Drosophila melanogaster: one gene and its partners. The protein of the gene in region 1 interacts with the protein of each later gene in a pairwise test. Each region holds a gene or a part of one and is shown on either strand. Other genes may lie near its edges.

Evidence for each region.
Region 2: the proteins of CG10164 (region 1) and CG9331 interact in a two-hybrid assay, tested with the Drosophila melanogaster proteins (one large-scale study listed by BioGRID).
Region 3: the proteins of CG10164 (region 1) and CG7488 interact in a two-hybrid assay, tested with the Drosophila melanogaster proteins (one large-scale study listed by BioGRID).

What each region holds. Positions count from the first base shown.
Region 1 is NT_033777.3:23,553,692-23,559,031, forward strand, and holds CG10164 (uncharacterized protein), read right to left. Parts: upstream 3,253-5,340; 5' UTR 2,542-3,252; intron 2,322-2,541; 5' UTR 2,317-2,321; coding exon 1,156-2,316; 3' UTR 632-1,155; downstream 1-631.
Region 2 is NT_033779.5:20,821,933-20,828,599, reverse strand, and holds CG9331 (uncharacterized protein), read right to left. Parts: upstream 4,959-6,667; 5' UTR 4,485-4,958; intron 4,167-4,484; exon of another isoform or gene 3,876-4,166; intron 3,329-3,875; 5' UTR 3,180-3,328; coding exon 3,088-3,179; exon of another isoform or gene 3,025-3,087; coding exon of another isoform or gene 2,933-3,024; coding exon 2,513-2,932; intron 1,968-2,512; coding exon 1,630-1,967; intron 1,569-1,629; coding exon 1,443-1,568; intron 1,104-1,442; coding exon 985-1,103; 3' UTR 876-984; downstream 1-875.
Region 3 is NT_033777.3:12,993,823-12,997,800, reverse strand, and holds CG7488 (uncharacterized protein), read right to left. Parts: upstream 2,182-3,978; 5' UTR 2,111-2,181; coding exon 1,177-2,110; intron 1,120-1,176; coding exon 932-1,119; 3' UTR 880-931; downstream 1-879. Other genes in the region: CG44194 (uncharacterized protein), read left to right, coding at 279-476; CG17327 (uncharacterized protein), read left to right, coding at 460-879; yellow-f2, read left to right, coding at 2,696-2,867, 2,984-3,373, 3,482-3,978.

The DNA of each region.
Region 1 (5,340 bases):
TTTGATGTGTTTTTAATTCGGTTTTGTTGGGAAAACTCATTGACAAAGGCTCGAAAGAGCACACGCCTCAGAGAACGAGCGAGCGAAAGAGTGCAGCATGGAAATGCTGTTTGGGATTTAATTAAAACTAATGAAAACTTTTGTGCCCACCCACTTGTTCACCCTCTGCAGCCCAGTAGTCAATCTTGCAATTTCTGGCCAACGACAAATGACAGGAGGCAGGCAGGTTTTTAAGGTCCTGCAGCAGGACGTCTGCCAACTGGCACAAGCCAAGCCCAGCACTTGGCCGACATTTCACCAAACCCAAACCGAAAGAGGGGATTTTCGGGTGAGGCACGGACTTCGGATTCGACCTCCGGGCGCATTGACAGAAGAAAGTTGAAAACACTTTGGCCACAATTGTGCAAACCGAACAAAATGAGCTGCAACCACGCACTTGAGGGCAACTCGGAAATGAGCAATGAAAGTGCGTGGCCATGCAATTAGACAACTCCTCCAGGAAGTGGACAAGATGCAACTTTTATGCAGGGAAGCACTCCAGAAAGGTGCACGAGTTTTGATTGGAGGACTCTGGCGATTGAATATGATTAAATCGCTTTAATTACAACACAATAAATTAAAATACGAGGGTAATTGAAAATGTGAATGCCGATAACATCTATATAATTATTGTGCATTTTGTGATGAATTTAAAATGGCAAATAAATAAACCACTTGAAACCACTTGTTTATTTGCGATGAATAAAGAAAAAACAAATATTGTTTGCGCTGTACAATTCAATTCAATCGAAAACAGCATATTGATCTTTTAAACTGGGTTTCAGACTTGCAATTTTATTAATTGACCCTAGTGGAAATAAATCCAAGAGACCATTAATAACCAAAATGTAGGTTATTTTTTAATTAATGGCTTATAAAAATATATATTTGTTTTGTATCACTTAATATTTTATATTATGGCCGCATTGTATGCATTTGTTGAATTATTACCGTTCATTAGACTCTGGCAACTGATATATTTTTGCATAAAATATCCATTCAAGATCCTTTTGAATGACCAACATATGAATTTGTAAGCATTATTTGGAGATTCCAATGTCGATAGAAAATAAATGGCTTTCGAACAAATAATTTGCGGAATGGTTACCAAGCGGCCTAATTTTTCTTCCTGCCGTGGCAAAATTTGACAGGGTTAGGTGCCCTTAGATGGGAACTGGGCCTTTTGCGTAAAAATGATGGTTTGATCTTGGAGGACGGCGTTTCGCGAAGGGACATCGACCCAATGGAGCTTCCATCGATACATCGTGCGGTCGTGGACAACTCAGAAGTCTCCATAAGTCCACCACGACCAGGGTATAAAATGTTGATCAATGGAGCGTGAGAAGTTCTTAGATTTTCGGCATGCGTCTCCTCTACTTCGTGCGATTTGAGTTTTGTAAGCGCATAAACTGAACAATTGGATGCACCTCCAGCTGGCTTAATGTTCACCATGTAGGAATAAGAGGATCCCTTGTTCAGGACTTTGCTGCCCTCGTGTTGGAGCTGCAGTTTCACGAGAAGATCGCCAATCTGGCTGAAAATCTTATCAGTCTCTGAGATAACTTTCTCACATTTTCCTCCCTTGGCAATTAATGGTAGATGTTTCCTTTCGCTAATTGCTGATTTGGTGGAAACCTCGGGATATCTAATCTTTTGGTTCTTTTTACGTTTAATTTCGAAGGTGTCTTGCCGGCGAAGGCCTGAAAGTGGAATCAAGCTGGTGCAACGTGCCTGTGGAGTTGGTTCTGCTGGTCCAATTTTCCCATGAACATTTTTCATCTGCTCTAGCGTGCAGCAAATCTGATTCATACCTGGCATAGTCCGAAACAATAGTTTGCTGTCTTCTATTTTCATGTTGGTAATGCTAATGGATGTATCTTTCTCTTCCAGTCCAGCAATACTAAGGCTCTCCAGATCCTCTTTAAAGCGGCGCTCATTATCTGCATCATTCAGTACAGCCAATGCTTGAGAGCTTAGGTTTATAGGCATATCTAATTCTGGAGGTGGTTCTTCATCCTCCAGGAGGGGAAAATATTGCTGCTCTATATCTGCCTGAACCTTTTTCATCCGTTCCTTTTCTATGGAACTAAGCATTGCTTCCAAATCTGAACGATCCTCATATTTCGCACAGTCTACCAAAATAAATGGTGCAGCCTGGTCATCTATCTCTTGGGATTGGGGTTCCACGTTCAGTCGAATAGGCTCCGTGTTGACAACTCTCGATGGTTCAGGTTGTTCTACTTTTGGTGTCCGATCTCTACGACTCTTCTTCTTCATGACGGCTGAAAAATAATTATTTTTAGACTAAAAAATACTATTTGTTAAAAATATTTAATCAAAAATATACTTATTTTCTACCATCACATTTTCACATAAGCCTCCTAATTTTTTTTCGTACACCTTTTTATGTATCATTCAAGTCAAATTAGCAGCGCCAATCGCATTGTGCTTGATTGTGGCCAAGTCGGCAAAGCCGTGATTAGGCCAACAAGAAACACTCACCTGGTCGCCACGAACTCGATGCTGCCACTCCCACGGTTGTTGTTTCGCTGTTGGCTCGGCTGCAAACAGAAATTTAAATCCCTCAAAAGTACTCGGCGAAGAAAAACGAAATTGAAAAGGATAAAAGTTTTGCGTGCCCCAGAATCAACAGGGACGAACCTTCAGCCCCTGATCCAGCTTCTGCTCCTGAATTTTGCTCCTGTCTTGGCTCCTGGGCACTTGTAGCTGCCTCTGGCCAAAAAGTGGTGGATAGTAGGAGGAGCGTTGGCGGACAGGAACACAATCCGTAAACCAAAACTTTATTTTGTGCTGATAAAAACTTAAATGTTGCTGCCGCTGCCACGCAATCGTAAATGTTTGATATCCCCAAAGGTTAACAATTTCCGTTGCCGCTTGGATCTGCTCTGCTTCGGCCCAAGTTAGTTTTCTTTATTTTGTTTGCCAAGAATTTTGCGGTTGGCCAACTAAACCGCATACACACAGCTGGTGTGGGAGTGTCTTTGGGCTGTCTGTTCGACTGCTGTGAATGTTTTTGTTTGTGTCTAGAATGGGACCAGGAATACGGATAGGGCCCCTGCTACTTGGGGAAAGGCGTACTCTGTTCAATTTAGATCATCTATGTGGAGCTATAGGAATGGACAATCCTGTATTCCGGGAGCTGGTGTTCCCAAATTTTGATATTCAAAATGGTTCTTCGAAAGTCACTGCGCCTGACAATTACGGCAATGCTTTAAATTATATTGTAAAAATAAGAAAACGAAAATGTTGTTCTCCATCTAATACTTTCTCACTCATTACAGCAGAAAACGAATAAATATATGCAATTTCTTTCTTAAATTGTATAAAGAATTTATATTTTTAATAATCAACTCTGAACTCAAAACTACGATTTCCCTAAAAATTGTGAGAGTAAATGCTTTTTTAAAACAAAGCAAATTAAAGCAAAGCAAAAATTTGAAAGTAAAGCAGTAAGTATCATACCAAGAATTTAATTCTTAACTGAGCGTGAAGGGCAGAGCACTAGAAATGCCCTTTCTCTTAACTTTACGATATTCGCAGCCCCACTCACAGGACTAAAAAGCTCTCTCTGCCGCCCAGAACAATAAGTTCCGAGGACTCGGCTCGAAGCGCACACGACGATTCATAAACAAATCGAGCTGTTCCTGGCCGTGGCGATTCAGTTGAATTCGTTACGAGCTGGCGAAAGGACGTGCTTGGCGGTCGTCGTCGTGGTGAAAGGCTATTATATCGAGTGGCATTCGGTGTCTGAGGTCCACGTTCGTGTGTCAGAGTTTGGCCAAAACTAAGGCGCGAAAACACATTTGCGGCGAGTGCGATTTTGTCGAGTTTTACTCAGTGTTTTCCATCGAGCTTTCTTAGCTTGCTAAAACGTGTGCGGGCAATTAAAGTTTCTAGCGTCCCACTGACTGATGGTCGCGCAAATGGCCATTGCAAATTGCATGTTTTCGTGGCGAGTAGTGCATGTCGCAGCATGACACCGAGAGCCCAATAGCAAATGCATGTGAGCCAGCCGAAGAGGGCTTAAAGTGTTTTTTGGCCAGCCCTTGTTCGCCAAAGTGGAATTATCGTCCAGCAAGACAAACGGCACGCAAGGCCGGGCTAATGAAAGCCCCATCAAAGGCAAGTGCAAATTTGTGCTAGGGGTTGGGCAGGAAATCTAATTAAAGACGAAATGGCAAATGCGGAGCATAAAATAATTGCAAATGTAGATGAAACCTGGTGGCAGCATGTGAGTCCCAGGAAATGGGTTTCGCTTGACAAAAAACAAAACCCCAACCACACAACCGAAAGGAATTCGCATACATATCAAATTTATGAAAGGCAACCTCACACACACATTTCCACATGTGGCTATGTGTGTGTGTGAGAGTGAGTGCCCTGGCCAGAACTGAAATTTATTTATTTGTTTTCCTTACTTACGAGGCAGAAGGGACAGGAAAAAGTAAAACTACACCGGCAGCTGAGTTCGGAAAACTCTAATAAAAACAAATGTTGAACAATGGATGTGTGGCACTTTAAATTACTGAAATATGTTCGCTAGTCTTGCAACTTTCAGTAACATGAGAAAAATGATTACCTATAAAATATTTTTAACACTTGTTCAATCATTTTTTGATTATCCAATGATTAGTCCTTTTGTGGCAAAGTCCTTTAATAAACACTTACCAAGTTCAGTTCGTTGGCTCTGGGAAAACATACAGAGGTGGTCAAAAGTATTTTCACAACGCACAATATTTGCAAACTTCAACTTCTTTTTGTTATATTTCTTCTTGTTGTTGTCCGATTTGCCTGAAATAGTTCTTATCGCTTAGCTTGATCTATGCAGAAGGTAGTCGAAAAGAAATACGAAAGATAACGGTTCATAGTACAAAGCTTAAAGCAAAAGAAAATATGCATGCAAGTTGTCAATAGTATTTTCACATGTTTATTGCGCTTCAAAAGTATTTTCACTCAACTTAATTTAGTAAATTTCAGCTTAACATCTAATTTCAACATAAGAATTTCTTTATTTTATATAAATACAATACTAATATTTTGTAACACCACCTTTGGCATCAATAACTGCTTGAAGTCTTTTTGGTATTGACCTTACCAAAGTTTGTGCAAATTCTAATGTCAATTTGGACCAAATCTCCGCTATTTCAATGATGGCTCCCTCTCGTTTTCTATTTTTATCAATAGTTCGTTGGTTTTTAATAAAAGCCCAAACGTTTTCAATGATATTAAGGTCTGGGCTTTGGGGGGGCCACGGAAGAACCGCCAGATTAAGGTCGTTTA
Region 2 (6,667 bases), on another chromosome or scaffold:
TACTTTTGGAGTAACAGGTATACTGATTAATCGTTCAATTTAATATACTACTACATCCTTTACTGTACAACATGGTGTACATCCTCTTGGATCACTTGTGGAAACGACGACTCGAACCCACTGCCAAATCGACCACGTCGTTGTTGACAGGGGACTTTGCACCTCTTGACTTCCGGCACATCGGCGTAGTCAGCTGGGGGCAGTATTCATTTAGAGCCACTGCCTTATGGGGCTACTGTCCTGCTCAGTCGCCGGTCTGCTTTCTTGCTGGTTGCAGCAGTTGCAGTTGCAGTTCTCTTTCTGCAGATAAATGCCCACATAGTAATCCCTGGGATTCGCCCCCAGCACCTTGAAACCAACGGGCCATGCCCAGGGGCCTTCAATTATTATATTCGATCAGCAAAGCCATAATCAGTGGGAGCAGGTTGAAAAACTACAACCGAAGTCGGGTTTCGCGAGCGAACTCTCAAGCGGCATAAGCACCCAGTTTTAAGAAGCGATGATCCTATTCCGATCCTGATCCGACAAGCTCCCGCAGCCGTTCCTGGGACTTTTGGATGCGAAATCAGCAGTTTGAAGGTCCTCGATACATTTTGGGGAAAAGTGGTAGGTTTTGCAATTGTGCAGAGCTAAACTTTGCGAATTACTAAATCAATGTTTTCTGCTCTCATTTCTTAAAACGTACAATATTATTTCCTACGATATACTATATTAGTATTTAAATTATGTTTCTCATTCTCTAGCACCAATTATTCTATTGCTTTACCTATTCCATATTAATCAGTTGAGCTAATCTTACGGTATAGATTAGATTCCCACATATTTAATTTAATAAATTTGCAACAGCAAATACTTGTTTTTTAATTGTTTTTTTTATTTTCACATCTACTGGCATGCCAAGGTCATCGGCGGCCTTTCGCACTTTGTTTGGCGGACATTCCAAACTGGTTAGCGGTAGAAAGCCATATTTCCCATTTGAATTTACTAGTAGGCGGGCGACAACATGGGCTCCCCAGCCAAACCGCGGAGCACATTATGGGCAGCAATGGTGGACATGTCGGCACGGGTGCGCTTCGTGGCGGATCCAATATGGGGCAGGACAACTAAAAGAACACATCAAGTGGTTAGTTCAAGATACGATTACACAAACCAAGATAACAATGTTTTAATAAATCAACAAAAGAAGGGAATTATAGAGGTCAACAAGGACGCAGAAATTAGATAAAACATGGAAAGAATAAACGTTACCCTATTTATTTGTAACCTTCAAGAAACCTTAAAGATTCCATTAATTTCAAAATACTTTTAGTCATTGTCAACCACTGAAGAGATAAGTCAAAATCTTTATATTGATAAGGGGCCAGAAATACGAGTATTTGCTAGGTGTGGGCCTGAGGACTGATATCAATAAACTACAACATTATTTTCATTTTCCCACTCACCAACATTGTCAAGCGTCAGCAGCTTGTCCTTGGGCGACAATGGTTCCGGATCCGTGACGTCGAGTCCGGCGGAAAAGATTCGGTTGGCTTTCAAAGCCTCGTAGAGGTCATCCTGGTTGACGATTTCTGAGGAATAAAATAAATAGTTAAAATCGGTCGAGAATCCCAATTAATACTGGTAACTTACTGCCCCTGGCAATGTTAACCAGCACAGCAGTCTGCTTCATCTTGTTGAAGGCGGTGGCATTAAAGACGCCCTGTGTGTCCTTCGTCAAAGGAGAAGCGATCACTACGAAGTCACTCTCGGCCAGAAGGGTATCGAAGTCAACTTTCTTGGCATTGAACTCCTCCTCGATCTCCTTGTGAACACGACGACGGGTGGTGTACAGCACCTTGTCAATGTCGAATCCAGACAAACGCTTGGCAATAGCCTGACCAATGCCTCCAAAGCCGTAGAATCCCACGGTGGAATCACGAATATCCTGGCCCAACAGCCAGTTAAGATGGTAGTTTTCCCACTTGTCACTTTTAGAACGCAAAAGATACAAATTAAGAAATTGAAAGATATATGAATATTTCCAAAATATATAATATACTTGTAGATACTCGAGATACTGATAAATGCCTGTTACTAAGCTAAGATGAAGATAAAAAAAACTTTTTTTTATTGCACCGCCACCTAGCGGCGGTTACATAAACTGCTCGTACCTTTTGTTTGTAGATAAATCGAAAGTCAATACTTTAGAATTTTACATTATGCATGTGAGGAGCCAAAACCTATTGATGATAATGCTTTGTCCACTTGTGAGCGCTATAGAGCAAAAGTGCAAGCGACAGACGAGCGGACAGGCGGTATTCTTAAGAACCGGCTTGCAATTTTAATCGAGAATTCATGCGTATACATTTCACGGCCACACTAAGTTGAAAATAAAGTGTCCCTAGTTTAGCTTAATTATAATAATAATTATGACAATTATAATTTCGGTTTACTCTATTTTTGTCATTGCTCAAATTAATTCTGTAAGTATATGAATCATCACAAACACAACTAACCAACTAGTGGTACTCACTTGTCGATGGTCTTGCGACCCTCGTGAAAACGGCGACTGGCGGCGATCAGGAGACCCACTGCCAAATCGGCCACGGCGGTGTTGAGAACGGTGGGCGTGTGTCCCAGCGGGATCTTACGTCTCTTTACCTCCGGCACATCGACGTAGTCGATTCCCGCCGACATGGTGGAGATGGATTTCAGCTGGGGACCGGCAGCATCGAGGGCCTCGGCATTGAGGGGTTCGTGTCCACCCCAGAGAACGCCATCCACGCCACGGATTTTCTCCAGCAGCTCCGCCCGGTTGATGGGAACACTCTGCACCTGGACGATCTCGCAGTTCTCCTTCAGCAGATCAATGCCCTCCTGGGGAACCTCGGGATGTGTCACCAGGACCTTGAAAGCCTTGCCAGCGGACATGGTGCGATTCTGGCTTTGATTTCTGCTGCCCCTGCGTGGGAGGGAGGCATTACTACCGGCGATCAGCAAGGCCACAATCAGTGGCAGCAGGGAGTTGGTGGCAATCGATCTCATCTCGAAGTATTGCGATCGAAGTCGTGTTTCGCGAGCGACTGAACTCTCAAGCGGCATACGCACCCAGCTTTAAGGAGCGGCGAGAACGGAAAGCCGCTGATCCGACTGCTCCGACCCACGATCGCAGCCGATAAACCAATGAACCTGTTTAGCATTATAATCCGCGCTCTAAATCTCTCCCTATATATGTATGTACGTATGTATGTATGTCTGTAGGCGTTCAAGCCGCCGAGCAGCTGATGTGAGTCTCAGTCTCTCCTACGGCGTATGTATAAGACGCACAACTGGTTTGCTGGTTCGAGAACTAAGGTATAATATTGGAGTTTTATCGAAGTGGATTCAATAATCAGGAACGGTGCAAGATTATTTCTGGGTTAATAACAATAACATTTGGCAAAAATAAACATTCTAAAATTAAGTTTAATTTTACTTAACATGTGGAGCGTAATGAAAAAATTACGAAACATAGATGAATTTATCAAAGACTAAGAGCCAATTATTTTGGCTAAAAAACAGAGACAATTATTTCAGTGGAAATACGATTATATACTGCGGTCAATAATTTCGAGTAGCTAAAATACATCTATCTCCCATGTTTTTTAAAGTACTTAAATTTCGCGGTTATACGGTCGCTATCTCCGCACAGACGCACGAGATTTTTATGGCGAAATTCCGCGAGCAAAAACTTTCAGATATGTTCGCATCTAATCATTTTTCCACGACTCATTCCACTCAACACTTTTGACAATTTGATGGTTTTTTAGCATTGTTTGTTTGTTTGTGGGAGGGAATGGAAAAACCCACAGTAATATTTTGATATTAATTACACTCAATGTCACCAAAGAACAAACCGTCACTCTTAAAAACTCTCTTAACCAAACTGTTTACGACACCAAATGTCACAAGAGAACTACTTTATTATATTATTATTAATTTGTTCTTTACACTATGCTACACTCTGCCTCCAAACGCACCCGACGTGAAAATTTAACTAAAACTTTTTTCCATTGGCTATGCAATAAAAGCTCGCAATCCGATTTCATTTTTATGTTCTCTTATTTAGACTTTATACTTTCTCTTACCGTGAGATCTATAGAACTAGAATACTTTTCAGCTTTGCGTTTGCCGCACGACTGAAGTATTGGCCCCAAAGCTTAAGCCTTATATAGAACTCATATCGTATCGCAAATGAATTATCAATTCCCAAAAAAGAGTTAATACGAGAGTAATTTTCAACATATTAATTCGGTTTACATTTTATGGAATGGTGCACAGATATTTTTGAAGTCAATTGTATAAATTCGTTAAAATAAAATAACATATATGAAATATTTAAAACAATATGCGATCTAACAAACTTTTATTATCGTAAAAATACACCCCTTAAAGGCCGGAAACTCACTAAAATCTCAGTTAAAAATGTAGTTCACTCTTTAACATAATATTGGGGTTATATCAACCAGATTCCAGTACTATCAGCGATCAGCGATTCCCCCTCCGATTAGACCATCATTGGGCATCCCTTTCTGTCGTTGCACACTGCGCTTTGCCGCTACCATCAGTCCGTCCCTTTCCAGCTGCTTATCTCGAAAGGCTCCTTATCGGTGCGAACGAGACAGAGACGGAACTCTTTGGGAGAGTGAGCAGTTGGGAAAGCTGTGCGCCTGCTCGAAATACCAGTTGGGGACTTTTCCCATGTGCTCGCATGCAATTTCCAACTGGAATGGGCACCACCGCAGTTGGAGCCACCGGAGCAGTGGAGCCATTTGGCCATTTAGCCGTGGTGCCATGGAGCCAAAGCACTGCAGTCGGTTGGAACGTGGAACCTACACGACCAGCACTATTTCGCAGTTAAGTACGTTTTTTTGTGAGCGGATCTGCTCAAATTTTGTCCGCAGAACAGCAGGCGCACAGCGTTGGCCAACGCACACTGCGCTTTTTCGTCTGTGTGAAAGCGGCGGCAAGAACCGTTCGCGTTGGCGTTAGCGTCGCTGGCAGTGATGCGCGAATTAACTAGCTAGAACTTCCGACAAAAGGCACAGAAACTTAAAACAAAATACTAAATTACTTTACGTCTACGTGTAAGGAGTAATCAAATATTTTACTGGTTAGAACTGAATATATTCATAGACATGATAATACATATACATATTTATAAGATATTCCAAATGTTAAAAACAATAAAATTATTGATATTGTTACTATACGAAAATTGACTAATCTAAATTTTACTGATTTACGATTTAAGTATAGAACTATTTTAACATAGTTTTAACCATAATACCGCTCTAGTGAAATATCGAAACGGACAGTTTGGCTTTTTGTTTGCCTAGATTGGCTTCACTGAAAGTTGTGCACTTCCTCTTACCTTTGAGATTTGGCCCAGACACTGCACTCTGCCTAATTGAAAGCGAAACGAAAAACCAACAAAATATTAGCGCTTTGTGCGAGGGTGGATTTTTTTGTTGTCGTGACGCGGCGCAGCGTCTGTGCCTGCTTTTTCTTCGTCCCCCACAACGGTTTACACATTTTCTTCGTGCCTTGTTCTTTTGTTTCGCGGCCATTGTGCAGCAGAGTGCCGCACATTGGTGCTCTTCTCGCTTTTATGCTTTCCTGTTACCAAAACACGATGCGTCATTTTGACTGACGTAACCGGAGACAACATTCCAATTGGAGACAGCTGTCTATCAGACGCGACCGTCGTCGTCGTTACGTCTGCTGCCGCCGGCATTGCCAGCGCTAAACTGCGGTTTGGTGAACAAGTAATCAGCAACTGATGACAGCAGACAGACGCCAACGAGAGTGTGTGCGGCGGACAGAGAAGAGAAAATGCGGAGAGATAGAGATAGTGGAGGCGGACAGTGAAAGACGGGGTATAACGGAAAAAATGGAATTTGAGAAGCGCATCTCTCGATCTCTCCACTGAACATATGAAAATACAATGTACATATGTACATATGTATGTAAATAATATTTATAAGTTGGGATATTAGAAAGCCTAACACTAGGTCTTCGTTTTAGGCTAATAAATTACTACAGTTTCGATATAATCGGAAACTGAAAATGAAAACGTTTACTTAGTTCAGTTCCCAACTAAGAACAAAGTGGGCATACTTTTAGGCACTTCTAAGCACTATTCCTGATAATGCTTAATGCAATAAAAGTTAATGTGTCACCAAAAATACACATTGTAGTACTTGTTCACATTTCTTAAAAAGTAATTTACAAACATTTTAACTTAGAACTTAGAACCTTGCTAATTGCATTCACAAGGTAAGATTGGGATTGCCTTCGCACAGCACTCAGCGGGTTAAAGTCAACTGTCAAGGGCAAGTTGCAGACACCTAAGCAGCATCCACAAACATATCCGTACTGCTTGCGCCGCATTCTGCTTGCTTCATATTTGGCGACACCAGCAGCGGGAATCGCAAATGGCGGCCGAGCGACAAAGCTGCAAAGCGAGGCGTCGCGCACTCCGCGCAGGCGCTTTTGGAGCGCCCAACTCCACTCAACGGCCTGTCGAGAAGGCCAAGATGAAAAAAAAGTGGGACGTGCCGGGCCACAAAAAAAGTGGCCAACCGTCACCGATTTTTATGGTGTAGGCTCCCTAAAATTGACGCGCAACATTGAGGCAGGTCCCTCT
Region 3 (3,978 bases), about 11 Mb from region 1:
TATGTTTCATATACTTTTTTCAACATATATTGTAGGTAAAACAAATCATCATGTATTTATACAGAAAAAGGTCCCAAAGATCTAAAAATTTCCTATTCTGTCTATGGAATAAACACATTTATAATGCAAGAAAATATATTTTACAGTAAATTCTTTCAATTCGATAGTGGGCCAAATGTCGTACAGAATATATCCGTGTCCCTTCGATGTGTTGACAACCCTGACCGAATTTCGTAATTTCGAAACGAACGAATTCAGCCGGCGAAGTGGAGAAGAAAATGTCCGCATCGACGGACCAGGATCCCGTGGAACTAATGCTGAAGAAGACCGGCTGCATAGAGCTTCACTACAAGGTGCAGGAGTGTATCGCCGAGACGGGCGACTGGAGGGCTTGCCAGGAGAAGGTGAAAGAGTTCCGGGCGTGCATGCAGAAGTACGTGGAGCAGCAGAGCCAGAAGTATGCCCACGTCAAGTAGCATCCTGCAGAAGTTCCTCAGCAACGGTTTGGCCTTCGGCAAGTCCACCAAACTGGCGCTGGTGGTCCGAACCGACCTAAAGATGTCCAAGGGAAAGACAGCGGCCCAGTGCGCCCATGCGGCGGTCATGTGCTACCAGAGCTCTGTGCAGGGAACCAAGCTGCAGAACGCCATTCTGCAGCGTTGGTGTCGCCTGGGACAGCCGAAGATAGTGCTGCGCGTGGACAACTTCGAGCAGCTAAACTCCCTGGAGCGACAGGCCCAAGAGTCGAACGTGGTGGCCGCCTTGGTGAGGGATGCCGGGCGCACTCAGCTGGAATCTGGGACAGCAACGGTCCTCGGACTGGGTCCAGCCCCTGCCGAAGATCTAGACAAATTGGTGGCGCATTTGAAGCTTTTGTGAACTCTTAGGTTTATGCAACGTTACAAATAAAGTACAAGTAATCAACAAGTGCTCAAGCGGCGGTCTTCTTGCCCTTGGAAACTGTAGATATAGTAAGGGACACTGCTTGGCCGAACATCTCCACCAGGTCTGATGTAACTCGCTCCGTGATCTGCCGCAGCTTGCCATTACCCTCGCCACAGATTAGGCGCTCGATTCGCGTGGTGGGGCACTGAACCTGCACGGATGTGTAGACAACATCTGCAAAGAAAATCGGAATTGAAAAGGATTTCTTTACGAGTGTACAGAAGTACTCACTTTTTTCCACACTGTAGTACTCGATCTCGCACTTAAGGTTGTAGGGTATCTCCTGCGGCAAGTAGTCCAGCAGACGAGCCCGCACACTCTCCACAATTAATGCTTCTGGGCTGGAGTCCGTATGAATGTCAGCTGGGTATTTCCAATCCCTGGGCTTAGCCTGGCCCACCAGGTAGTTCTGCATCTCCTGCAGCCCATTGCCGGTCAAGGCGGAAACAAGAAACACGTCGCTAAAATGGCTCCAGCTAGACTCCCGCTTGTTGATTCTTATTTCCTTGGCGAGAGCACTTTTTGCCTGGACTTCCCGCTTGCCAACTGTCAAGGTGTCGTTGGTGAGTGTCTTGATCAGATCCAACAGCAAACGCTTCGACTTCAGGGCGTCTATCTTATTCAGCACCAGGAAACTGGGCAGGTTGCTATACGCCTTCAGCGTATCCAAGACAGTGGGATGCAGTTCCTTCCTAGTCCAGGCATTTGAGGCATCGTGCACCACGGCGATGATGTCCGCATGCTGTATGGCATGGCGGTAGGCACTCTTAAAGTTCTGGTCCAGGTGGTGCCGACGAATCTCATGTTGCGTGACCAGGCCCGGCGTATCGTAAAAGACCAACTGCGTCTGGCCGGTGGTGTAAATGGCCGTGTTCGACTGCCGAGTGGTGTGCACCTTGGCCGAGGTGGGACACACTCGGTGGTTCACCGTGTTGTTGATGAACGTGCTCTTTCCCACATTGGGCACTCCAATTACCGCGATGTGCAGTGATCGTTGCTCCTCTCCGGGATTCCTCGATTCTGCGGGCGGTGGGCGCGTGGTCGGAGCCACTGCATCGTTGGTGTGGGCGGCGCCGGTCAAGCTGCGCACGTTCACCAAGAACAAATTGTGGGTTTTCGTGCTATTCAGCAATTTTAACGAACTGGCTAACAGATTATAGCGCATATTGCTATTTACACTGTTTACGCTAAATAAATTACGATTTACACAACAGCTTTGTATATCGATACCTCTTATCGATTGTTGGTAGTGATTTGATTAATTTAATAAATCGCCGTTAAGTCTTTTGGCGCGAAATTTGTTGCTTTAGTTTTCTAAGTTTAGAAATTATGCATTAAATTTATATTTTTGGGTTAATTATTATTAATTGCTAGAGAATATATTGCTAGAACAGCAATGCTTTCATAAACGAATAGCGTAACGTTTCTTACAACTAAATGTTCTTCTCATGTTTTTGTGATTGATTTATATATGTATACAACATAAAAAGAAAGAAAAGCTGAAAGCTGTTTATAATTCCATTTGTATGTAAATAATTAGATTTTTACTAACGATTATTATCAGGCTAACAAGTCACAAAACCGGTTTGAGAACTTGTGAGAGTCGCGCTTTTCTTATCAATTTTAATAATTTGCGTTCGAACCGCTGTGAGAATAGATTCCAATTGGGAACAAATTGGCTTTCAGTCGCTATTGAGGCCTCAACTTGGCAAGGCGAACTTAGATTATAGTTCCCCAGGAAAACCGAGCAATGTTATCGCCCCAATTTTTGATTCTAAGTTTAATCTCAGGGTTACAGCTGCTTTCCTTGGCAGATGCTGATCCCATGATAGAGGTCTTCCGATGGAAGCAGATGGACTTTTACAATCGCGGAGATGGCCATCTAAGCTCGGGCGGAAGGAAAGACAGGCCCAGCTTTTCAGGTTAGTACTCATAATATGATATTACTAGTTCTCATTCAGCAATAGCAATCTCGCGAGCCTTGTTAGATAGATTTATTGGTATTTACTTATGTACTATTTTTTTATTGTTCAACTAGCTCCGGTTGTCTTTCCTGGAAAGTATTCTCGTCGAAAGCGTAAGATTATGACCTCCCGCGATACACCGGTAGTGGTCAGCTCCCGCGCCGACAGCGACGACCCCAACGCCTCCTACATTCCGTACAATAACGTGCCCATGGGAGCCACTCACTTCCGCGGCCGCCTCTTTGTCACGATGCCTCGTCGACGGGTGGGCATCCCATCCACCTTGAATTACATCGATCTGGCCGAGGACGGATCGAATCGCAGCCCCAAGCTGCGGGCCTATCCCAACTTTGCGCTTAATCAGTTCAACGCGAGTGCGGAGAATCTGGTGTCCGTCTACAGAACCTCCGTGGATGCATGCCAGCGTCTCTGGTTTATCGACACGGGAATGCTGGAGTATCCAAGTGAGTTGGCATGTATTGACATGTAATATAAAAGATCAGGATCGATCCGTATTAATCTAATTTGGTGACCAAGAATATAAAAAACTCAATCATGATTCTCATATCCAGATAACCGCCAACAGATCCGCCGTCCCAGCATTTGGGTAGTTGACTTGGCCACGGATCAGGTGCTGAAGCGCTTCGATGTTCCGGAGAGTATAGCTGAGACGGGTCGCGGATTGGCCAGCATCACCGTGGATGTGAAGGCGGGTCAGTGTGGCGATGCCTACGCCTATATTCCGGATCTGGTGTACCGGCGCCTGTACGTCTATCACCTGCGAAACGATAGAATCTGGTCCTTCGAGCACAACTACTTCAACTTCGATCCGCTGTCCGGGGATCTCAGCATTGGCGGCCAGACCTTCCGCTGGGACGATGGCATCTTCTCAATAACTTTGGGGGCCCAGAAACTGGATGGGAGCCGCGATGCCTACTTCCATCCCATGGCCAGTACGAATGAGTTTGTGGTCTCCAACCGGGTTCTGCAGCAGGAATCCAACGCCGCACGTTCCGATCATGGGAACGATTTCCGGGTACTCGGAAGCCGTGGTCCGTCCACCCAGTCT